2 linked regions of the Oreochromis niloticus genome follow. The protein of the gene in region 2 purifies or fractionates together with the protein of the main gene of each other region. This does not show direct contact. Links are inferred from orthologs where the notes say so. Each region holds a gene or a part of one and is shown on either strand. Other genes may lie near its edges.

Region 1 (11,789 bases), on a different chromosome or scaffold from region 2:
TGCTCAGCACACAGACTCATGCAGAGGGTGATGTTGGTTGTTCATGATGGATGTCAGCGTTACTAACATCCTCCTCTCGCCCACTGCCTCCACAGACTCCAGAGGACATCTCAGCACAGAGCTAGAGCTCCGCACCAGTTTGTCAAACCTGCTCCTGTCCCTGTCTGTGCATCTGCTCCCCCAGCAGGCCACTGCATAGAAAAGGGCAGATGCTACCACAGTATCATAGAATGTCCTTAACAGAGTCCTGCAGACTCCAAAGGACCTTAGTCTCCTGGTGAAGTCAAAAAACATGATCCTCACAGTGCTGCCAGCCTGCTCTAGGTGAGAGAGGGATTGGGGTAACAGGTAGATGACAGCGTCATCCACCCCGATTCCAGACCGGTAGGTGAAGTGCAGGGGGTCCATCGCTGAGCTCACCAGTGGGCAAAGGTGGTGCAGAACGACCCTTTCCATGGTCTTCATCAGATGAGAAGTCAAGGCCACAGGCCTGAGGGGGTTGGGCTCCTTGGGGTGTGTGATTTTTGGCATCTGAACCATGCAGGAAGTTTTCCACAGTTCAGGAACCCTCTCCAGACTTAGGCTCAGGTTGAAGATGTACAGGATCACCTGACAGAGCTGGTCTGCACAGTCCCTGAGCAATCTGGAGCAGATTCCATTCCAACTTGCTGACTTCCTTGCCTTCGTCCTCTTGAGCTGACTTAAATATATATTTTAACCAAGATGGTGCCTTGTCTCTACATCACCCAGTTTTCTTCTAAATTGGACTGCAATCTTAAGAATTGTAAATGCTTCAAGATAAGTGTACATGTCTGATTCTTTCGGTGGAAGTGTAGCTTTTGTTAGTTTAAGGTGGTTAAACTGGGTGGGTTTTGAAGTGTTTAAAAAATAGCTGGCAATAGTTCTATTTAATGTTTTTACTTAATGTCACACCATCACACCACAATGTTAGGACATCTACGGCTAGGCTTAGGGTGGCTTGTGTTCTATTACTTCGTATAACGTAAACACTGCCCCCTACTGGTTAGCTTTATTTATACAACATTAAGGCTAGCCCGAGGTAATTCTCCCTGATGCGACTTCGTTTTTAAGAGAACCCTTTAAAGGTAGGTTTGGTCAAACCAACTCTTTATGAACAGTTCTTTTTATTTCATTCTGTCCTTTAACCCTACTTTCAATTCTCGATGTCGTACTGTTTTGTTAATCCTAATTTTTTTGTTTGTTATGTTTGTATTCTAACCTAAGACTCTTTTGCTAACTGCTAAACAAGCTAAAGTGTAAAACATTTATTCGCTTTTTGTTTGTTTGTTATGTTTTTTTTTTTTATAGCACTGGGGTTAGTTCGTTAAAGTAATACAAATGCAGAAAAGATAAACAGATACATTCAACCTCCCTCCAGCTGCGAGTTTTCTCAGACTTGGCCAACTTCACCCTTCTCAGAAATACCCAGTAAAGCCATTACACTGTCAGGCGTTGAGAAGAGTCATTTCACACCAAAGTTACAAATATGCAGAATTAATTGTAACTTATTTAAGCTAGTTTTGTATGTCCACTTCCATGGTTAGAAATTGCTGCCAATCCAGCTTCAGTACTGTACAAGTAGATTACTGTGGTCTAGAGTAGACTGGGTGCAGTTTTCTGTCTGTACACCTGAGGGCGGAAGAGCTTCTTCGTGAAACCTTAAACAATCATAGACGTGTTTATTTGATTTTCGTCGTTTCAATTCAACGCGCGATACTGATATTATAATTATTTTTCATAGATCACGTAATTATCATATTATGAAAACAATTATACCGCCAGGAAAGTGATAAAAATGAATTTAAGACGCTCCTTCTTAACGACCGCTGATTGGACTGCAGACGACCACGTGATCTTGAATATCATTAACCGGCATGCGCTGACCGGCGTTTCAGAAACTAAAGTGTCGTTTTATATGGGGCGCCGTTTATAAACTGAAACATGGCGAGCATAGTTATATTGTGATGTTTCGGAGGTAAAACGTCAGTAAAACCTCGACCTGTCCTCTACCATTTGTTAGAAGACGACTGTGTTCTTCTTTGTAACCATGAGTTAGAGTTGCAGTAAGCAGAATGACTCCCTTGTGTCGGATGATATGTGGGTATCGCTTCTCGGCCTTTTGGCTAAGATCAAGTGTAGTATCTGTTCTTATCAGTTTAATATCTGATACGTCCCCTATCCGGGGACCATATATTAAATTGATTTTTGGAACAGGGAGATGGAATAGGGGCTTGCTCCGTCCACTCCACGCATCGACCTGGTATTGCAGTATTTCCAGGAACGGTGCACCCCCCTGAAACTGTGGAAAAGAAGTGTAGTTTGATTCTTGTGTTCTTGCTTAGAGGTTTGTTATACACAATATATATGTCTGCGTGTGAATATATGGACATTGTCTTTGTACTGATGAAAGACAGACTGAAATGTTGCGACTTAATACCTGTAAATAAGTTGCATTTAACTGTTCTGAGAAATACTAAATCCTGCGACTTGGACTGACACGTGGACACACACTTTCTATGGGAAATCCCCCCCCCAAAAATGTAGTTTTGAACTGCAGTTACATTATTCTAGCTTGAATCCTGCAGTTACCTCTGTTGTCCACTAGAGACCGATAGAAGTCTGTAAAAACTGGAGGCTGCCACCTACAAGGACTCATGTTGATTATAGGTTTAACTATTCTCTTTCTCTACATACTGCAGCTGTCTTTTTTCTGTGGCTGTAAATTACATCTCTTGAAAAAAAAGCACAGTTTTTTCTTGGCTTTTTAGCTAAAATCACCTGTATTGTCTGTTGTTTCCATTTGTGGATGGTTAATAGTACAGAAGATTGTTTTTCTGTTTTTAGGATTACATGAAAACATTTTGCAACAGATCTTTTCTATATATAATAAATCGTAGGATACTAATGGTTTTGATGATTTATAAAACAGCAGTGTGGTGTAGCCCTGATAGTGTGGATCCTTAGTGTGTAAAGAGTAGATATCTCATGTAATATGTGTGAATGAAAATCCAGGGACTTTACGAGAGTCCTCCATTTATGGCTATGATCCTGACAAACAAGATTAATACATTTCTTTCTCCGACTGACAGTACTGTTTCCCAAAGGAAAACATTTACACAACATATGTGTACCAGGATGGCCGAGTGGTTAAGGCGTTGGACTTAAGTTCCAATGAGCGGATGCTCTCGTGGGTTCAAACCCCACTCCTGGTATAATTTGGAGCCTCATGTGTGTTAAGCTGGATGGTATCTATGGGAGCAACATATGGAGTTTTTAGGAATTTGCTGTGAGCAATATCTTTCCCACAAAAAAAGCTTTAATGCTGAACCAAAAGGGAAAAATGGTTAATGGAAAAACTCCAAGCTTTTGGATTAATTAGTAATATTAATGGATATAAAAAGAAGCTCACTGTGAATAAAATGAAAATCATAAAATTTTGAGGGGGTCACCTCCAGTTAAACTCTTTTCAACATAAAATTGCAAAGAATTTGGGTATTTCATTATGTGTGTGTATGGAATTAAAAAGAAAAAGACTAAATTCTTACAAAGCAGCTTGAAGACAGCTGGGCTTGTTTGTGTTAGCTGGCTTGACAAATCCTAAAACTCAGTCAGAAGTGGTTCCTCAACGTTCTTTTTAAATAGTTTTCCTGCTTCACGCTCTGTGCACAATCATAAAAAGGGTTTTTCCGTATGTTTCAGGGTGCAACGTATAACTAATGTAGAGAAACTTAGCTTGCATTAATGATACCGAATAAATCTAGTTACTTCACCCAGTCACATTACAAAGAAAGAAAAATAAAGATGTCACATAGTGAAAAGAGACTATTTACCCAAAATTATTTTCAATTTAAAAGGCTTTAAAAGGGCTTAAATGACCTTCAATACATAATTGTATTATTTTGATTTACATTAGACACAACATCCCAACATTTTCAAAAGACCGTTTTAAATATTTTTAGACCAACTTTAATCAGAATGTCAAATATGGAAAAAAACTGAAAGTCACTGTTAAACGACAAGCAGCTGTCGATTTATTTAACTTCGGATCCTTGCTCCTTTCATATCAATTATTAATAATAATAATAATAAAAAAACAAACACATGGTGCTGCAGACACAGTAGCTTTAATCTGCAATTTAAAGAAGGCAAAGAAAAAGAAAACATATTCTGGAACCTGCTATCAAAATGTATTTGAACTCCTTGAGCATTTTCACAGTAATCCACTGTAGTCTGCAGTTAAAACACTGCAAACATTTATCCAGAGATCATGAGCAGTCCATGGCCAAAAAGTAACACTTCTTCTGACAGTTTGCGTTTATTTCTGTGTGATGGGGAATGAATTCTGGTCCATCAACTCTCCGACTCTCTCCTGGAGTGTTTGAACCACCTCTGCAAGAATGAACACGTGCGTGTCGTCAAGATCCTTGAGGATGAATTTCTTTCCCAAGGCCATCGTTTCATCCAGGTACAGGAGAAATTGTTTCATGGCAGGATCACTAGTGCATACAGCAAGAGAAAGTTAAAGTTTCGGCTACTTAAAAACAGATTTCTGTGAAACTAGCTACAAATATTTATTGGCAAAGTTACAACCTTACCATTCAACAAGGACACCTTTGTGCACGTTGACCATATTGATGCAGAGAAATGGACAGTCGAAGCCGATTAAAGAGCTGAATACCTGCAGCACAGTAAACAAACCGACAGCTGAAGGCCTCAAGTAGAAGCAGCTTTACGGCAGCCTAAACCCTTATTAAGGCACTAAACAGTAAGATAAACGCTTCACATGTTTTCGGACATTTTAATAATATTTTTATTACCATTACAACAAAGAAAATACTTGTAAACGTTTAAGTACAGCGTATGCTAGCTCTTTGTTTTAGCACCGGTTAGCATTAGCTCAAAATAGCATGGCCACGGGCATGTTCTGCTACATACCGCGATCTCAAATATCTAAAAGAGCAAACTTCACACATATACATATACATACCTGTCTACAGTTAAGCGAAGGATTAACATAAAGCAACAAACAGCCTTTTATCTACCCGAGATCTCCAGCTGTTTCTGCTAAGTTTTCAAAGCATTGATGGGTTATGTAAGGTGTGCGCCAAGGGACAATCTTCTGATGTCCAAATATCGCGCTAGCATGTTTTAAAAGCTTTTGCTGCTTCTGTGCTGCTTTTCTGTCCTTGGTAAAGGTTTAATGCTTTATATTTTAGTGCATATCAATACTGTGGGTTTAAAAAAAGCCTACGTTGTGTATAGATGAGTGAGTATTATGAAGAAAATAATGCAATATTTGTACCCAAGTGCATGAAATGCATTACAAAAAACTGCATCATGACATTGGTGCAAAATGCAAGTTAAGATCCAGTATAAAATACAGTACTGTGCCATTTTCCCCCTTCTGTCACTAACAGGAAAACTATGACAACTTGATACCATATATATACACTCAGGACCACTTATAAGGTACAACTACTCTGCTGCTCCTTAAGGCAAATATACAATCAACCAGTCACATGGAAGTATTTTAGTGCACTTAAGCATGTAGACATGATGACCAAGATGACCTGCTCAAGTTCAAACTGAGCATCAGAATGGAGAAGAAAGGTGATGTGGGTGACTTTGAATGTCGGGTGATTGTCGAGTACTTCAGAAATTGCTGGTCAATTGAGCTACAACCATCTCTAGGATTTATAGAGACTGATCCAAAAAGAGAGAAAATATCCAGTGAGCAGGAGTTCTCTGGGTAAAAATGCATCAGAGCAGAATGGTCAGACTGTTTGGAGCTGATAGGAAGACAACAGTAACTCAGATAATCACTTTTTTATATCCAATGTATGCAGAAGAGCATCTATGACTGCACAAAACTTTGAACCCTGAAGCAGATGGGCTACAGCAGCAGAAGAATAAGGTAAGAATAGCAAACTAATGTTTCTGAGGCTGGTTTAATGGTGTAGGAAATGTTTTCTTGGCACAATTTAGGCCCCTTAGTTCAACCCATTTATTGTTCTGGACCATGTCCATCCTTTTATGATAACAGTGTGCCCATCTTGTGATGGCAACTTCCTGCAGGATAAGACATCATGTCACCAAGCTCATATCATGTCATACTGGTTTCTTGTATGAGTTCACTGAACTCAAATGACCTCCAGTGACCAGATGTCAATCCTCTTGAGCATCTTTGGGATGTGGTATATTCCTATCATGGATGTGCAGTTGACGAATCTGCAGCACCTGTGTGATGGTATCATGTCAATATGGGCCAAAATCCCAGAGGAATGTTTCAAATACTTTGTTGTATTTTGTACTTTGTATATAGAAATGCATAGATGACTCATAAACCCTCAAACGTTACACATTTATTCATTTCATTGCCAGCATTTAGGACTGCTAGTGGCAGTGGGGGCTGCAAACACATGTATTAAAATTAATTTGCTTGATCAGTCCCATACAACTGTATGTGCAATCTGAACTAAAGGTATTAACTCAGGTCCACTTGAGGTAAGGCTTGGGAAAGAATATGTTTTGGCACATAAGATGATAATCACACTATAGTTAGAGTAAAACAAATACATATAAAAATAAAGTCTTAAACCTTTGCTCTGGTCAAAAGTCAAGTTGCATGAGTGGCAACAAAATGTCAGTGCATTTTTAAGTAAATACAGTAGATAATGAGCATTATGTATCCCATGATTAGCTGGTAATAAATCTAAAATAAAAGGAAATCTAGATAAAATTGTAATGTGCTTAATTTACTTGTAAACATAAGAGTTGTTTTCTTTCAAACTTAGCTGATGTACAATTAAGAGACCGATCTCAGTGGATGACTTAAAAAAGACCCCAACAACAAAAAACGCACCCTGCTATCGTTATCACAACTGACAGGTTTCCACATATATCCGTGTGTAAAATAAATTTGATTTCGTTAGCTATACTGCAATTGCATTTGTGGTGCTTCATGTGAATGTGCAGTTATTTCTCTGTTTGGTTTGGAGTGTGATATACATTTCAAGTATACAGCAGGTGGTCTCAGTGTCATTGTTTTTATAGATTTCTGTCAGTGGGTGACGTAGCTCTGCAGAGCGTCCAGGATGAACTGGAGGCTGCGTTTGTATAGAAATGAGTCCTTCCTCTCTGGTTTGCAGATGTTTAGGTGATCTACGTCCACTTCAATGAGCTCACCAATCCCGAGATCTGAAACCACAACACGATGAGACGCAAGACATTGCTTCAACTATGTGTTTTTTTTAAAATATTTAAGCTGTACATTTCAGACATTACAGTATTTGGAGTTACATACTTGCTGACTGCGTTGGTACCACAAGTATCTTGATCATGGGTCCAATGTTCGTCGGTAGTGTCTCTGCAAAGCTCAGCACCTTGAAATCCTTTTCTTTGGCCAGGTTCAGGAAGTTATCATTCAGGCTGCGCAGAGCTGGTGAATCTTAAAACACACACATCAATTCACATTAGATGCTGAAAGAGTTTCATAGACCACAGAATTCATCATATTCACTGACCTTTACAGAGTTCTCTGACTTCTATGGAGGGGAAGAGAAGATATCTGACATTGACAGAGTACTCTGCCATGAAGGTGCCGTAGTGAGGAACACTATAAAACATAATCCCTTTGGTGTTCTGTAATAACCCATGCATGTCTGGGTCCTGTGAGGCATCCAGCAGCATTTTCTTCACAAGCAGTCCTGCAAGAGAAACCAAATGCAAGAGGATAGATTAGTAATTTCTTTTTTTTTTTTTTCAAGTTTGATTCAAGGGATCTGCATAAAAGTCCAACATGCTTGTGGAAGGAAAGATGTGGGAGAAATACCTCCCATACTGTGGGCTACCCAGACCACAGGCCTTTCTCCAACTCCTGCCAGCTTTAACTTCTTTAGCAGCTCCTGACTTCTGTAGGCTAGAGACTTCCTGGAGAGACAGATAGTCAACCCTTTAATCTGTTGGAGTAATTAATCCAAGGGCACCTGACTTTGCAAAAATATTCTGTTTTACCAAGAGTAGCACCTTAATCACATGTAGACGTATAAAGAAACTACAGATTTATCGTTGTTTTTTTTGTTTTTTTACCTCTGATTCTCAGCAGGACACTGGGCCATCCAGTCACTTAGATGACTGTCATACTCCACCGACAGCACTCTCAGATTTGGACAGTCAGCAGCCAACCATGACTGACAATAAACAGTGATAAAACGACATGGAAGAACACTGAGATAAATCTTAAGCTGTGTGAGACCTAAGAGTTTCACAGAGACGACAACACACTTCTAAGTCTTGAAACACTCAATTTCACTGTAGGAGGAAAACACTGAAATAATCCATTAATGTAATTAGAGGAATCAGGTGCCTTTGTTACCTTTGGCCAGCACTCTGTATAGTCATCTTCGCATTTGGCTGCCTCCTCTTCCTCTAACGTATTGCGGTCCTTCTGCCTCCACGTCTTAAAAGCTGCCCCTAGAATCCCGTGTATGAACAGCACGTCTGCTTTGATTGGCTGACTGGAAATTGAAAACATTGTCAAAGATGATGGTTTGGTTATAACAATAAAATAAAATGATGTTAATGCATTTATGTAACAACTGAATTTGTTTTCCTACTTGCTACGTGTTTGTGGGTGCAGGATATAGACACCATCTGGGTATTTCTCTTTTACTGTCTCCCTGTCCAGGTTTGCAAGAGCACGAGCTGCGTGAGACGCCTGCATGATATGAGGGCACTGCATCATCTCAGCCAGGACAGACACCCAGCCTGCAGGTGTTTTATGGGTAAAGTAGGGGAAAAAAAACAGGAAAGTGTGAGCAGTACGATAAAATTTATAAGTTGGGGTGGATAACTATAAAAGTAAACACATTTTTTTGTGATGGTGACAATCTAATCTCTAATTGAAACAAGCACAACATATATTTTAGACCTTACTTTCATAACATCTTTAGCGCACCCAGTCAGGATTACACATAATCAGAGCTGTCTCCAGTTTATTCAGATTAGTTACAGACTTACCGGACTGGGCTATGGCCTGATGGGCACCTTCATTGAGAGCCAGGTTTCCGATAATGCGAACAATGTTCCTCTGAATCTTCATAGAGTCTGTTCTGAGGTGATAAACCCTCTGGAGAAGCTGTAGACCTCCGTTGGCAACTATGTGGTCACAGTGGCTCCTTACCTGCAGATCGCAAAGTATTAACCACAAGGCAACATCCAGACAGGGGGCGCATAGAATTGACCTTAATACACTGCTACAATGACCGCAACGAGTAGTAAGTAAGTAATCAAGCCACCGACTCCAGACTAAATCACCTTTGGATGCACAATGATGATTACCTTTGAGTGTTGTACCAGTGCCTGCAGACAGAAGGACTCCACCTTCTCAGAAGGAACAGAGGTGAGGCTCTGGGCATAAGGCAGCCCATTGCCTCCAAAACTCCACAGACCACCCTGGAACAATGAAGCGCACGTGTTAATGACAGGATATAGAAACTAGCTTTTTTCTTTCTTTTTCTTTTTTTTTTTTTTTGCACATCCCAGTGACTGTTGTCCTCCTGTTTAGACCATCACCTTCCTAAAGACTGTACATGTATGTGTAAATCTGTGATTGTCACCCTTTGTGCTGCCAAGGACTGAGTGCTCTCTCTCAGGGCCAGTGAGGTAAAGTACCGAACACATTTGTCCACCTCAGTTTGAGGCAGAGATGCCAAAAGCTGCCTCAGTCCGTCCTCCGCTGACAAACCCTGAGAAGATCACATTATAGTGAGATGCAGCACATCTGTGAGGTAGGCATTCAAATGGCAAATATCCTAAAGAGTAGATTTGAGTACCTCCCCCAAATCAGGCAGTGCAGGTGGGTGACGGAAAAACCTCAGGTCTACCTGAGGCGTCCGGGCCAAGCCCACTGCTGTCCGATGGTCTATAACCTGTGCTGCCGTCTGGTACTGGTAATCTGGATTATTCAAAACAGGTGTGATCTAAGACCAAAGCAGGTCTGTGTTGTGTATCAAATTAAAGTGACAGGAAACTTTTAGGGTCCTTTACCATGCCAGTGGTGATTGTCTGCAAGCTCCTGAACAGCCTCTAGTCTGATGGCTTTATTAGCTGACTGTGTCTTCTTCAGCAGGACCCACAATGCCACCTCATGTGGGTCAGCATCCACATGACTGAAGTGCTCTAAGACACAAAATTACAGAACAAACTGACCGTCTGAACATTTAGAGAATAAAAATAGAGATGTGTTGTACTAATTCCTCTATTTGGACCTTTTAGCAATTCTAACTACAGCTAAATGGTTAACTACCAGTGTCTACTGCGTCACCTTTTACATTATTACAAAAGCTAAGGAGCTACAGTACAAACCTTGCAGGAGTGAAACTTGTGTCATCAACTTGGCAGCTATTAATTTGTAAAAGGTTAAAGTAAACAAAAGTCAATGTAACTTTTTGTCTGCGGATTTAAAACTACAGGTGCCGAAACAAAACAAAAAATCTCAGACCTGTTTATTCCACTCACTTTCACAAGATCCACACCACTGTACAAGCTATGTGGCATTCAAAACAGGATGTGCATGTGCAAAGGCAGGTGTTTCCTTTGGTCTCTGTGCACATACGTCACATAAAATTGACTGAATGACTACAGTTTTCTGAGCATAAACACTTGCCCTGCTATTGGCAACAAGTTCAAGAAGTTAAGTTCAAGAAATATTAGGGGTGGCATTATGGTGTATCTATGTTATTGGTGAATTGGTGTTTGTTAGATTCTCACCATCGAGTGATTGCAGTAAAAGCCTCGAGGATATTTCCACAAACCGTCTTGCTGCTTTATGAAGTTCCCTCCTTGCTTTGTGTGTAAGTCCTGGAAGAGATGCAGAAAAAACAACTAGCCACTACTCCCTTGACAGAATTTGGAATTGCATTTCTATAACATTATAAAGAAAACAGAAACCATTTAGAAATGCTTTCCTGTAGAGGTGGCTAATTAATCAAATTTGAGTGAGATTAATTTATATTTCCATTTTTATAATAATGATTCTATTTTTTATCTTTCATTATAAATCCATCTCATCCTTACAGCTATAGCATTTGCACCTCCCCGAAAGCCTAAACACACTCCCTGCTATACTGTTGTGTGTTAAGTTCACATGTACTTATTTTAAGTTAAAAGTGAAATTAACGTATTATGAGTGAGTACTGCTTAAAATGATCATGATCATATGTTTCAGCATAATCAAGCAGCTTATATTTGAATATAAGTTGATTGTGAAAGCTTCCACTAAAAAGGTAGAGGAAGTAAAATCACCCAACACTAAATGGCCCAAAGTCCTGGCAGGAAAGGGAAAACAGGAAGAATGAAGGCAGATGTCACTGCCCCACTGAACATAAAAAACTCAACACTTTCTTATACAAGAACAAAATGTAGCCACTCAGCATATTTGTCAGATAATGCCCTCCCACAGGAGGGAAGAAGGAACATGTCCAAAAAACAGTAAATTTAAATTAAAAATCTAAACAGTCTTACTACATTTATGGGCTAGTGGAAATATGTACATATGTTATACAGCAAAAGAGCTTAAAATAACAGATTTTGTACAAGAAGAAATACTGCAATGCCGAATGGCGGATGCTACATCTGAACTTGTGTATTTTCACAATTAAAGGTCTAATTCGTCCCAAAATAAGTCTGACACTGGATGGAGGTATGTAGAAACAGAATGTGAATATCTTGATGCAGTGAGAAAATGTAGGACTACAAACAGAGTAGTA
Region 2 (13,866 bases):
TTGACTGAGTCACTGCTGTGAGGAGAAACATGTTTGGCACTGGTTTTCAACAGGTTCAGATACCTACCTGCATACAGAGCAGAAGAGACTGCGACTGAAATAAATATTTTAAGGGAAATATGCATCTGATACTATGTAACTGTAGTCTACTGAGCTTGGCTTTAAAATGCCTGAAATTGTAATGATAAATAAATATTTAATGGTCTTAGAGCTGTGGGATTTGATTAATTGGCTGGACATAAACAAACAGGGGTAAAATATGGACTACAGATAAGTTTGAGTGAATATCATTTTGTAGGCAAACTAAGAGTTGATGTTTAAATTCACTATAGTTTCATTAAAGTTGTAGTTTTTTTGTATTATTATTATTAATAATTGGTGTTTGGGGGCTGTTGACTTCTGAAGTGGGGGCAAGCCAGAAAAAGTTTGAGAATCACTGTCTCAGAGCAATTATACCAGACAACAGATGTTAATTCAGCTCAACATCTGGCCAGTCCGATTTGAATCAGTTTTTGAGCTACTGTGGCTTCATTTGAACACTAACCGGGCACCTGCATGAACAATTGGGCATAAGTCAGCAGCAGCATTTTATTTAAAAAGTAAAGGGCTTCACTTAATTAAACATGAAAAAAGCTCTGTCATCAGAAAACAAATTTAAAAAAAAAGAGCACACAATTAACAGCCTTAATGATATAACAGATGCACTAAGGGCAAAAAAAGCTCCATCCCTTCATTCTCTTCAGCTTATCCTTATCAGGGTCGGGGGTTACAATAAAAGCTATCTTTTTTCATATAGTCAAAATGAATAAAAGATAACCGATTTAGAATATTAGAGATGCTGTGATCATTGCCTTCACTTTGCTCCTCCAGAATAGGCAGCTTCTGCTGAGTCATAACTTAATACATAAATCTTATCAGTAGTGGTTCTAATGCATATCCTCTGGGGGTGTTTGACATGAAACATTTTGCAAGCCCGTGGGCTGAACTATAAATAAAGTTTATCACCTTTGTCTTCATAGGAAATGGCTTGTGCGCAAACCACTACTACTGGAATGAGCTGCGATGGTGCTATTTGGTGAGCGTGGTATTCATTTATTCTAATTCAACATGTGTGTTCAGCGAGACAAACGCTGCCACTCCACGCTGCGCTGCTGACACGTTGTATTCAGAGTAAGACAAGGTGGGTGCGTGGGTGGGGTTGAGTGGGTGAAAAAAAAGGCAGATTAGAGTGGGGTGTGCATGTGTGTGTGTGTGTGTGTGTGTGTGTGTGTGTGTGTGTGTGTGTGTGTGTGTGTTGTTCTAGTGCTGGTGCTTTCCCCTTAATATGTCAAATTAGAGGAGGATGGAAAACCCACATCAACCAGGCATGAACAAGCCGGAGTTGTTCCATTAATTCATCTTTGTCAGAAGTTATGTTTATATCGGGTCTCCATGCAAAACTTGACCTTCCCTGTATGGAAAACATTCTTTAACATTAACAAGCGATGCAAATGATGTCAGATGACCTTTCTCTCTTGGTGCCCCACAGTTACTAGCTGTTACTCATCCCTGGCATGTGTGTGTTTGTCTGTGTGTGTGTGTGTCTGTGAGTGCATGCATGCCCATGTGTCCCTGTGTAGAGCACCCACTGGGAGATGTTTCATTAGCCAGGGTGGTGTGCTCAGTAGCATGTAAACACTCGGCACAGTTTCAGACTTGTAGTTAAAAATCTGCAATGCCATCAGCAGTGTGGATGCTACTGCTTTGCACTTTGCCTGCTGTGCCACATTGACTAGTTTCACAATTGCATTTGCATGTCTGTGTGTCTGTGTCTTTATTATATTGAGAGCGCTTTCATAACAGCGCCTTTGATCATCTCTCCATATAAGGGCATGGGGCCGGTATTAAAATATAGCGTGTGTGTATTTCGCGGTGTTTTACTTTATCTTTATGTAGACCAAATGTTATGACAGTGAAAGCAACAGTCCCAGGATTTCTAAACAGATTTGGCATGATCTGCTCTACATATTCATTAAAATAAGGCTCAGGTTTATGGCTACGAGTCAAGGCTACCTTTAAATTTGAATTAATCTGGGGAGGGGTGATTTTTATGGGTTTTGGAGGAGAGAAACAGAAACTGACTCTAGAATAAATTTAAAATAGCAAAATCTGTGTGTGTCTGTGTTCACGTCCGTGTGTGTCTATTGATCTGGGTTGTGTGCAAGAACACAAAGAGACCCCTGAGAGAGAGGGGTCAACAGCTGCTCCCCAACAACCAATCAATTGCAGTGTATCAGTAAACATTACACTCTCGCTCTCTCTCTCACACACACACACACACATATACGCGCGCCCGCGCCCGGACACATAAAGACAGCACTCTCTTCTCAAATCTGTTTCCATGGATACCAGATACAGGCGGCCAAGAGGGAGCAGTTTTCCAGCTTAAACTGTAAATATTGAATTATGATGGGGAGAAAAGAGACAGCAGTGCAGGGCAACGTTCCTGCCTGAATGATCTAAATATCTGGATAATCCTTTCATCTCTATTCACCGCTACAGGAAATCTGGTGCATCATTCATGCTCATCAAGTTCAACATAAAAAGATCAATCTGTCTTACGGATCCAGCCACTTATGTGACGCTCTATTACAGACCGAGAGCTGCCCTCATTCCTTCATCTCTCCCTGCCATTTTGTGTGTGGAAGATCTTCATTCCCTCAAGTGGGATGCAAAGTAAATGCTTCCCTGTGCTTGATGTGCGGCGCATAAAAGTGAATTCAAACCACTTTAGCCGAATGCTGGGCTCCTCTGTGGTTTGATCAATGGGGAGAGGGGAGATTGAAAGATTGAGATGAAGAAGTGAAGAAAAAAACAAGTTAATTAATAAATGCTTTGGCAAATGTTTCAAGTGGGGGGCCACTAGAGAGCAAAGCAGAGATAGAAAAGCTGAGAGGGAAAGCAAAGGTGAATGGCAGTAATTGATTTGGGGATCTTTATAAATATTATAATCGCTGGCGTCTGCAGAGATAAAATACTAATAACGCACTTGTATTCATAACAGAGCTACGCAGCTTGACTGCGCCGTGAGTGAACACACTAACCTTGAGCTGACATTGTGAGCAGCCGAGACTCACGGTCAACCAGCGAGGGGCTTCTCTCTGGGAGTCCACTAATCTCGCAGGGCAGCGGCGGGCTCATCAGAGCTCCGAGACCCCTGGGACTGATGGAGGTAATGGGGTGAGCTGAGAGAGTGGGAGAAGGAGTGTGTATATGGGCATCAGTGAGGGGGAACAAAATAAAGAAACATAGTTGTGTGTCATGCAGGCACAAATGTGCGTAACCAAAGTGCATCTGTGCACACATGTGCATGTCTGTGTGTGTCAGAAGGTGCGAGGGCCGTGCTGATGGAATGAGAAGTTAATGGGACGTGTGACAAGGTTGATTACTGAGGCCTCGGTGATCTGACTGGGTTAATGAAGTAAATGGCTCCTTGGATAACACACCACTGTGGCCATCTCTCCAGATCCTGATACGCACAAACAAATCAGAGGGGCCTTTTCTTCCTTTGCCTTCCAACTATGACTTCCCTCACTGTGCTCGTGGCCATCATGGGTTTTGAATTAATCTTGGGGCTACATTTCACATGTTCTTTCATCCCAAAGTTCTCTTACAACACCCTGCTGCAAACTAGAAGACAAATAAGCCTATATAAGAGGTAAGGCAAACAATGGAATATTTTCTGTATGTACAGCATTAAAACAAGGGAGCTCAGCACACAGTGTTCAGCCTCTTTGAAGGATTTAAGTGGCCACATGTAGTTTGCAAATACAGCCAGACTTACATATTCAAGAGAAGATGCGCACACACGCACAAACACGCAGACAAACACAGGAAAGGAAAAGAAACACTGCCAGACTTTGTTCCCCATTTGAGGCTGCGATAGAGATTTTTCTAATGAGTGCGATAATGATGTCTGAGAAAAGACACAGACCAGAATGAAACAACAATACAGATGGGTGCTACGACAACAACAAAGACGCCCTAAATGCAGTTGACTGTGGACTCCCCGCTGGCTCTGTCTATGTGAAGAGATGACACTGCGCCCATCCCCCTGCTACTTATAAGGACATTATCATAATGTTGGCTCCGTACGAGCTCAGCTATCAAGTGGGCTCATCTTGAAGTCGTCCACAAGCCCCGGTGTACGCAGATGCTTCAGATGCCTGAGGAAGACAGTGGTGAACAAAAACATTTCTGCCCTAATATTAATTCAGACTGACAGCTCTGCCATCTAACAATGCAGCCCAGGACTGACAGCACCAATTTGACAAATCTCTGCGTTGGTTGTAAACACACAGCAGCACGGAAGATAATGATTGTCCTTCTGTTTGTCCTTCTGCTTTCTTATTGTCTTGTCACTACAGACATCTGCAGAGAATGAAAGGGGCAAAGTGAAGCATGTTTGTGGACCATGTGTGGCTGATGCTTTTGCAGTAAGTCAGTAGTTTTAAAAAAAATGGTGTGGAAAACCTGGCTTATGTGCTTCAATAAAAAAATAGAGATGAAAAAAAAAAAGTAAAAATACAAATGTCAGCATCTATTAGACGTATGAATAATGAATAATTTGTTCTGAGAAACAGATATTGTTTGTCACGGCTTGTGTGAACCTTCACACCTCAAACATCCACCCTACAACATCCTGTTGTGTTATAACTGTGCATGTGGTCAGATACAGCTGCATGTGTATGTGTGTGTGGTGTATGTGTGTGCATGTGTGTGTGCGGGCCTGTGAGAAAGAGTTAGAAACATAAAGAAAGAAAGAGAGAAAGAGGAAAACTCCCTAGATGACAGAACGCAGCCACTTCCCCAGAGACTCTGTGAGTAAAAAGAGGACAGAAACCTACAGCAGCAGGTGTGTGATACAGCACTGACTGTGATAGCGCTGAATCATTCATCCCTTACGCACTCGGTGACACCATCAGAGATCTTTTTTAACCTTTCATTTCTGAAGTATTGACCCAAAACACTACACTTAAATCACTAAAAAGTATAACAGAACAAATGATGACCAACAAAAAAGACCAAAAAAGAACATCCGGTGTGCATCATTCAACATTTTAGGGCATATTCTCGAGGCAAACTTGAGATTGTGACACTGCTCTTCTGCAGAAAAATTGCCTTTGCACTTCAACATTTCACTCCATCAACACATCTTCTATTCCGCATTTTGAAGAGATATGCATGGTTTTTGGGTGGCAGTGACTTAAAAGAAATCTGTGAGTGTGTGTAACAGCATGTGTGTTAAATGCAAATTTTTAATAAGGGCAAATACATTTTTATTTAATTTTTTGACATCTCTGAACAGGTCACCCCAAATGCATCCTCCTCACACTCATCACAAATGAGCAGATTATCATAGCTGTGCAATCAGTGTAAAAATTGTTTCTGAGGAAGAATTAGGTGGCCACATACCACACACACATACACACAGATAAACGACATTTGGTCTGCATTTGTTGTTTACTGTACATTGTGTGAACACTGTCCCATCTGAAGCTGCTTTCCAGCAGCAGGATGTGGTGGCGAGACACGTCCTCGCTTAACAACACCCACTTCCTATGAGTTTGATAAACAGCTTTGTGGTTTCACTCTCCTCCTGCCCGTCAAACAGAGGTATACACACAAACACGCGCGCGCACACACACACAAATATGCACACACCCGCTCAACAGCATCACCATCTGCTAATGTGACACATAACCAGAGTGAGTTATTGTTGTGCATAATGTTACCCATAGTGTCATGTGATTTACAGAGACAAACTATACAAACGCTACCAGAATCACTTATGTCTCTCTTCATCCGCAGTCTTACCGAGACACTGAGGGGAATGAGGCAAGAATGCCTTTAAATCATGGCAGAATTAGTAGGCATCAATATGTCATATTTGTTTTAAAGCAAGTGATGTAAATGGATCTGAGTTATGTCAGCTGTGGTCGTTAACGTCCCACATTGAGCCCCTCCCCCCACGTGTGTCCCTAAAGTTTGATTATAAGATAGTAAAGTCTTCTCTTCTCTTCTCTTCTCTTCTCTTCTCTTCTCTTCTCTTCTCTTCTCTTCTCTTCTCTTCACTTCTCTTCTCTTCTCTCCTCTTCTCTTCTCTGCATGGTTGCATGGGCACATACGGTCCTGTCACTCACATCTGGGAGCTGTCAGATGAATGTGCACACATCTGAGAGGAGAATGAGGGGTGTATTAGGCCTGCTGATCCTTCACACCCCTCTTGTCAAACTTAACATAAAAATGAAAGTCAGTGGCGAGTGTGCGCGTGCGTGCATGTGTGTGTGTATGTGCGTGTGAGGCAGCAGACGAGGAGGGTCAAAGGAGAAGAGCCATGCCTAATCCTGTGGGATGTGAGGGTATCTCACTGCGTATGGAGATGAGATGTAGAGATGTGCTCAGTGGTGCATGGATCACAAAACCTTCCTAACTGACAGAAGAGACTCCCAGGAGACAGATGTCAAACTGCTAACTGGTGAAAGAAAAATAAAGGGGGCAAAAAAAGACAAACTGTGAGGAAAATAACAGTACTGCATGTTGCATCATAACAGTAAAATGTTAGATATGACAGAGGCGAATGAGGCTGGAACTGAGATTAGATCTCCCCTTCACTTATTATTAATCTTAGTAGTAGTAGCAGTATTAGTATTGTTAGTATTATTAATATTATTATTGTAATTTAACAAACCTTTAAAAATCCAGTAAAACAAATCCAGAATAAATAAATCATGCTAGGTTTTTTTATTTGGCTCTATAATTTGGTTCGCGGTGGTGTTGGATAAATAAAATCGGTAGGTGTCGCTGTTGTTCAATTTAAATTTAAAGCCTCTAACCCGGAAAGACTACTTGCGGTCCTTTAACAGAGCAGGAAGTGCCTCAGCACGACACTGACAGTTATCTATCATGGCGCTTGATGTGAAAAGCAGAGCCAAGCGGTACGAGAAGCTGGATTTCCTCGGAGAGGGTCAGGTAGGGGGAAAAATATTTAAGAGATATGTGTCTTTGCTTTTTTCTTCGCACGTCCTTAGACCGCTGTGTTTATTGCGTAGAAAGCACGATGGCGAGCTAACAAAGCGTTAGCTGGTTGCTAATGTCAACAAAGCATCCGTGGTTCATGCTGCTCTGCTTCTTGTGCCAGTAAATTTCACCAAAATAAGTTTAAAAAAAATTAAAACTTTTTGTTTTTTGAATATTGTTTTTTCTCTGCAGTTTGCCACAGTGTACAAAGCCAGGGACAAACTGACCGACACAATAGTTGCCATTAAAAAGGTAAAAGAAACGAGCTATTTACTACTACCATTCACACTGTTTGTTGATGAGCCGCAGTAAACATTTACCTGTTTATTCCCTTCAGATTAAGGTTGGCCACAGGACTGAGGCTAAAGATGGTAAGTGCTGGGTCCTATCAATATGCTGCAGCTCATTTTCATCCGTTTTATATATATAATTTTTTTTACGTATTTATGTTTTTTAAAATAGGAATTAATCGGACTGCACTCAGAGAAATAAAACTGCTGCAGGAGCTCCATCATCCAAACATTATCGGGGTAGTTAAATGTTCATCGCACATCATCATAATCTTGTGTTACTGGTATCGATTGTATAGGAAGATACCTTAATCTTTCTATATTGTGCAGATTATTTATTTTTTGACCTAAATATTGTTGTTTTATATGTGTGGCAGCTGTTGGATGCTTTTGGACATAAATCAAACATCAGCCTGGTGTTTGATTTCATGGAAACAGACCTGGAGGTGAGTAGAGACCTAAATAGAAATGTGGAGGGATTTCATACACAGCGTTTGTGCACTTTTAAAAAATATTCACTTTTTTATTAGTTTGTGGGGGTAAATAAAAGGGGTAAATAGATGGATAGAATAGGTAGCAGCTTCCCACTTCCTTAATAATTTTTTACGATTTACGGCTTTAATGATTGGGGGGAAAAAAATAAAAAATTCTCAACACAATTTTTTTGCTTTGGTGCTTCGTAGTGCTCAGTTGTCACTGTGTAAGTGGGAGCATTTCATTCACAATTGTAACTAAAAATAAAAGCATTATGGGACATTATAAAATAGGGTTAAATCAACTGGCAGTATAACAATGTGCTGCACTGTTCATTAGTGTAAATATGTTAAGTAAAAGCATTAAAACATTTCATATCACGTCTCCAAAAATATGACTTTATGATTTTTTTTAGTCAAACAAATCTTAATAATTGTTCCTATATCTCAGAATAACAAGGAAAAGTAAACATTGAGGAAAAGAAAAGTTATAAGACACATTTACAGTGTGAATATCTTAAAGTGAAAACATAAAACAATGTAATACATACTGCATTACTAGCTGCAATGACTATATACCTACACAGATACATATACATCAGTTCTCCAAATCCTTAAAATCTTCAAGCAAAAAATAAACTATGAATAAAAAAAATAATACAATAAACATTTCCTTAAAAACAGGAAGGTTTTTCCCCTCATTTTAAGAACAATTGCATTAAATATTATTATTCTCGCATCAATTTGTGAGCAAATAATAATTTAGGCTTTAATCTCGTTCCATTCACACATTTACTTTTACATGCTGCTGGTTTTTGGCTAAGAAGACTAATCTGTTCACAGCTTCGGGTTTAGTAAACATTCTTTTGCATAGCTCTGATGGGGGTTTTTTGTGTGTGAATTTGGTGAATGAAGTGCAACATGTTACCAGACTTCATTGGGACCTGTCGGCACTGCGTCTTACAAACTGTTTCTTTTATTTCTTCCTGAGCAGCTGATACATTTTACTTCTCGGCTTTAGTCACCAAGGAAGAAAAAAAATTGTGTCAAAAAATAATTCAAAATGTTGAGATTAAACTTGAAATAGTATTTTGATAAAAAACTTGAAATAAGTGTCGATGTTATTTTCTCCTCAACTCTATAACTTCTCTGTTGGAAAGGGGTGTTTGGAAGGCCACAAACACAACAACCAGCCGATCTGAGCACAGTGTGAACAAGTAAATAGAATACATTTCTTATCTGTAGTTAAATATTAATAATATAACATTAAGAGCTCTTAAAGTCACAAACAGACTGCCAAATCTTAGACTTACCTATTTTATTTTTAGAAACATCTTCCAGTACAGTGTTGCCTAGAGGGTACAGTATTGTACGATATTATTTATTTATTTGTTTGTAACAAAACCCTAAGATGTCATGTTTTGCATTATGGCTGCTTCTGTCTGGAGATTTGTCAGTCATCTCTAATCTGTTAAACATTTCTTTAAAAAAAAGTTTTCTTTTTAATTCTGCAGTTCCCTTGTGGGCCAGCAGGTGGAAATTTTACCCTTTGTTCACATTCTTAGTGTAAGGTCAGACTAAAGTAGAGTAGCCAAGAAAGCATGAACAAGAGGTCAAACAAAGTGTCACCAGTGCTAAGCTAGGTGTTACTCTGGCTTTTATTTGGATTATCTAAGCATAAAAAGGCTCCAAATAGGCGCCCACCAGTAATACTTTAGACCCTAATGGAATGATGCAAAATAAGATAAACGCACTTAAAAATAATCAATATCACTCTGCTTTTGGCTGCTCAGTGAAGTGATGCCATTACAGGCAGCAGAAAAACAGGATGCACATGAGGATGAAATGTGATGCTGATCTTATTACCAGTGCTAAAAGCCTATATTATAAAAGCCTATATATTTTTGGACTGCAAGGTTAGCTTTAGTTAGACTCCTGCATTCAAAGGTGATGATGGTTCTTGTTATGAAGGCTGAACTGTTCTATCTTGGATGATTTCTTCAGACGGATATTTTCCAGATGTTTTCGATTGTCTTGTCCACTCAGAAAAAGTGTATTTTAATTTTGTGTGTGTGGCCTAGAGCTATGAAAAAACATGAATTAATGCATGGATGTTAGTAATTATGAGAAGTCTGGCTGTACGTATGACCCTTGGTCTTTGTTTTGTTGTTTTTAAGGTTATCATCAAAGACACTAGTTTAGTCTTAACTCCAGCCAACATCAAAGCCTACATCCTCATGACTCTGCAGGGATTAGAGTATATGCACCAGCACTGGGTCCTACACAGGGTAAGAAAACGTGTGCGCAGCATTCACACATAAATATGCCCATGTCTAATTTGTAATTTATATTTTGGGCCTTTTCCTCTTAATTTTTTTTCTCTTTTTGTGCAGGATCTGAAGCCCAATAATCTGTTGTTAGATGGCAGTGGGGTGTTGAAGTTGGCTGATTTTGGTTTGGCCAAGTCTTTTGGCAGTCCTAGCAGAGTCTACACGCATCAAGTTGTTACCAGGTCAGATCAGTCTCCATGTTACCTCATTAAAAATACAGAACTTCTCCAGAGTTAGTCTCATTAGAAATTCTTCAGAGCAGCAATATTTTTTTTAAATGTTTTCCATGATTTAATAAAACATTTAACCAAACTAGGACTGGTTAAATGTGACAGAATTATACTAAGAAGTCCAGGTTGCAAGGTCTGTAAAATATGTCTCTATTTGTTGTTCATTCATTCATGTCTTTCCTAGGTGGTACCGATCACCTGAGCTCCTGTTTGGTGCCAGGATGTACGGTGTGGGTGTTGACATGTGGGCAGTGGGATGCATCTTGGCAGAGTTGCTGCTTCGGGTAAATAAACCTCACTTCAAAGATATGAGCACGTAGTCGCAGGGGACGCAGCTATTTTCATATTCATGCTAATGTCAATGTTTCTACACTCCCGTTTGCTGTAGGTTCCGTTCCTTGCTGGAGACTCGGATCTCGACCAGCTTACTAAGATCTTTGAGGCTCTGGGAACACCCACAGAAGAAACGTGGCCTGTGGGTTTGTTTGGGGTTTTTTTGCTGTTGAAGTTTTGTTTTGTTTTTTAGGTTTTTTTTACAGTTTGGCCTGATTTTGATGAGATGTGGGGATTCTTGCTTACATTGTATTGTTATATCTCTCTTTAGGGCTTGAGTAGTCTACCAGACTATGTGTCCTTCAAAATATTCCCCGGCACACCGCTGGAACATATATTTAGTGCAGCTGGAGACGATTTACTTGAGCTGCTACAAGGTCTCTTTACCTTTAACCCTTCAGCGAGGACCACAGCTACACAGGTAATAAGCTAAGCATTCTTACACTGCAGTCTATTTGATGATTGCTGGATCGGCTTCAGCACTGAAATCCTGTTGTTTCATTTGTAGCTCCCTCAGAATTACAGGCCTCGCTTCAGGCAGTACGACTCTCATTGTGATCAGCCGGTGAAGAGTGTCCTTTACTTTAAGAGTGTAATGCGAAGATAAACCACTAATAGACTTGTAAAACTTGACTTTACAAGACTTGCAAAACAAAAAGTAGACATTTCACCTTCGTACAAGTCATGATGTGGTTGCCACACAGCTTTGTGCTAGGAAGAATAAATAAATATAAATGCTTATTATTTGCTCATTTTTAAGTGCACATGTTTTTTGGGGATGTTTGGGTTGACGAGTTGTGAGCAAAAACTGTACCCGAGTTAAGTAGCTGTTATCCTCTTCAATGCCGCTTCCTTGTGCACCTCTGACTCCCAGTGCTCCCACTGGTTGGAATTTGTCCTTCGAAGTTTCTTCTGTCCAAATTATAACCTTTTAAATTTCAATATTATTTTGAAACAAGAACATCACAAGGATTTAACTCTGGAAAGAAGAAGTGTTGGTGAGCAGCGATTGTGTTAGTGAAATGTGTAGTGTGGAGAACTTCTTAGTAGTAGGTGTAAGCAGGGGTGTGATGGCACACTGTTCAGGTTGTTTGTTCTTTCTCAGAAGTCTCAGTATGTTAGTAAAACTCACTATTGTCTGATCCAGGCGAGTGAATGCACTCTGCATAGCTGGTGCTCTCCCAGCGAAAACTGGTTTCTTCTCCAGTCCTAGGCACAGAGCCTGTTTTCATTACCTGTGACAATCCCTGACATAAAAGCTCGGTCAGTCTGATACAGGAATTGATGTTTGCCTTCTGTTTGAGCTCTATCGTAAAATTGCAGCTTCAGTTTTATTTACATGGCACCAATTCACAACAGTCACCGCAAGGCACTAAATAACTCATAATACTAGAGAGAAAACCTGAACTATCTCATTTTGCGTTAATCATAAACTAAAGGACTGTGCTTCTGCATTGTTCAACAACTGCATTAATCACACATCTTCCACTTTCTCTATTACACATCTCAATAATAAGAAAAAAAAAACAGCTTCTTGCATCTTTGATACATCAAATTAGAGACACAACTCTGATGTTTGATGCCACAGATGTATAAAAAGGTGTTTTCCTTTATTCTGCAGGCTCTAAAGATGAGGTACTTCAGCAATCGGCCTGGTCCCACTCCTGGTCCCCAGCTCCCCCGGCCAAACTGTTCGGCCGAGGCTTTGAGGGAGAAGGAGACAGTCGGGCTCAAGAGAAAAATTGAAGGCCTGGAGAATAGTAATTACCGGATATGATCTCATATTTGCACTAAATCCACTGTGTGTGTCCTTAATCCATAAAAGACCACCCTGACTCTGGGTTAAATATTTTCTCAGTCATGTTGTTTATATTGTGGTTTGAGCAGCAAAAACTGAGGTGTCTGCGACACTCGTTTGAGGCAGACTTTAAAGGGGCTGAATATTGTAGAACTTCCAACACTGACCAGATTTTTTTTCTTCTTCTTTTTTTTTTATAGCATGTTGTGAGTTTTTTGACTGCTTCTCGCTGAAGTTAAAAACCTAACCTAGCAATTCAGCGGGTGTTGGCTGTACATTTAGCTGCAGTTACAAATTCAGAAAATACTGAATTCGAACACGCGCCCACAGTTTCGTGGCTAGTGGGAGGGTATGTTTTACTAAAGTGGAACCTTTTAGTGTCACTGGGAGGTTCAAAGCTTTTCCAGCTCCTCTGTGGTTTGGAAAATATCTAGCTTTGACTTTTGTAACATTTATAACAGAAACCTTGGTGCCTCTTGGTAGCGTGTTGCTCATTATAGGCTTGATTTGAGCATGTGGCGTACATACACATGGAACAGAAATACGTGTCTATCTAATCTAACTTAGGTTTTTTAAGTTTTGTTTTTTTCTTCTTCTTCTTCTTTAAATAATGTTTATAACAAAACTCTTTGTGTTATTTTCAGCTGCAATGAAGAAGAAGCTCATTTTCTGACCAGGGACCGGGTTAAATCCGAGGATCACCACTGCATGGCTCAGCTTCCTGCATTTCTCAGGACTGTCCACTGGAAAAAGAAAAGGGAAAAAAGTCTATAACCAGCAGAGGCTCCCTCACGTGTGGTTGACTTTAGGACATTTTAGAAGTTGTAGCCAGCGTATGTGAATCGTTAACTCTAAAATGCTGCTGTGTCCAGATGGCCAGCGATTGATCTACAGCAGAGGGCTGTTGTCAGTAGCGTTGGCTCTGGTCCTCCTTCACTGATGACTAAACTTTGTGAGCCTGTGGGGAAAAACGTCTATTTATGTGTGTGAAAAAGAAAAACAAACCAACATGTGAGAATTTATTTCATGTGAATGTTTTTGTATTGTTATTATTTTGTATGCCACAGCAATAAAAGCTGCGTATGCTCATGTTGAAGTTTCCTGTTTGGATTAGAGATGTGCTGGGGTTGGTAGTAATGGTTTTATTAATAGCCTGTGTGGTCAAATCTGAAAACCAACGTCTTCCTAACACTTATGAATTCACACAGTAACAATCCACACACATTACTGACTGATTTCACGTCTACAGCATTCACTTTGCCTGTGAGCTGAAGTACACTTGTGGTTTGTTCACTCAGCAGGTGGAGTGAAGCAAAAACACTGTCTTCAGGGCTCACATGGTGACACTGTGCT

The links.
Region 1: the proteins of cdk7 (region 2) and gtf2h5 purify together in Homo sapiens (affinity purification with mass spectrometry; 7 studies listed by BioGRID and IntAct, with this or other methods). This does not show direct contact. The link is inferred for Oreochromis niloticus from reciprocal best matches to the Homo sapiens genes CDK7 and GTF2H5.

What each region holds. Positions count from the first base shown.
Region 1 is NC_031980.2:11,767,296-11,779,084, reverse strand, and holds gtf2h5 (general transcription factor IIH subunit 5), read right to left. Parts: upstream 5,072-11,789; 5' UTR 5,009-5,071; intron 4,700-5,008; 5' UTR 4,652-4,699; coding exon 4,617-4,651; intron 4,518-4,616; coding exon 4,337-4,517; 3' UTR 4,275-4,336; downstream 1-4,274. Other genes in the region: protein SERAC1, read right to left, coding at 7,082-7,218, 7,325-7,468, 7,545-7,727, 7,853-7,950, 8,110-8,210, 8,396-8,537, 8,637-8,787, 9,040-9,202 and 5 more. UniProt on the Homo sapiens protein: Component of the general transcription and DNA repair factor IIH (TFIIH) core complex, which is involved in general and transcription-coupled nucleotide excision repair (NER) of damaged DNA and, when complexed to CAK, in RNA transcription by RNA polymerase II.
Region 2 is NC_031977.2:17,306,608-17,320,473, reverse strand, and holds cdk7 (cyclin-dependent kinase 7), read left to right. Parts: upstream 1-6,856; 5' UTR 6,857-6,945; coding exon 6,946-7,011; intron 7,012-7,251; coding exon 7,252-7,311; intron 7,312-7,396; coding exon 7,397-7,430; intron 7,431-7,521; coding exon 7,522-7,589; intron 7,590-7,726; coding exon 7,727-7,795; intron 7,796-9,999; coding exon 10,000-10,110; intron 10,111-10,215; coding exon 10,216-10,334; intron 10,335-10,566; coding exon 10,567-10,666; intron 10,667-10,770; coding exon 10,771-10,857; intron 10,858-10,986; coding exon 10,987-11,136; intron 11,137-12,336; coding exon 12,337-12,475; intron 12,476-13,157; coding exon 13,158-13,186; 3' UTR 13,187-13,604; downstream 13,605-13,866. UniProt on the Homo sapiens protein: Serine/threonine kinase involved in cell cycle control and in RNA polymerase II-mediated RNA transcription. Cyclin-dependent kinases (CDKs) are activated by the binding to a cyclin and mediate the progression through the cell cycle.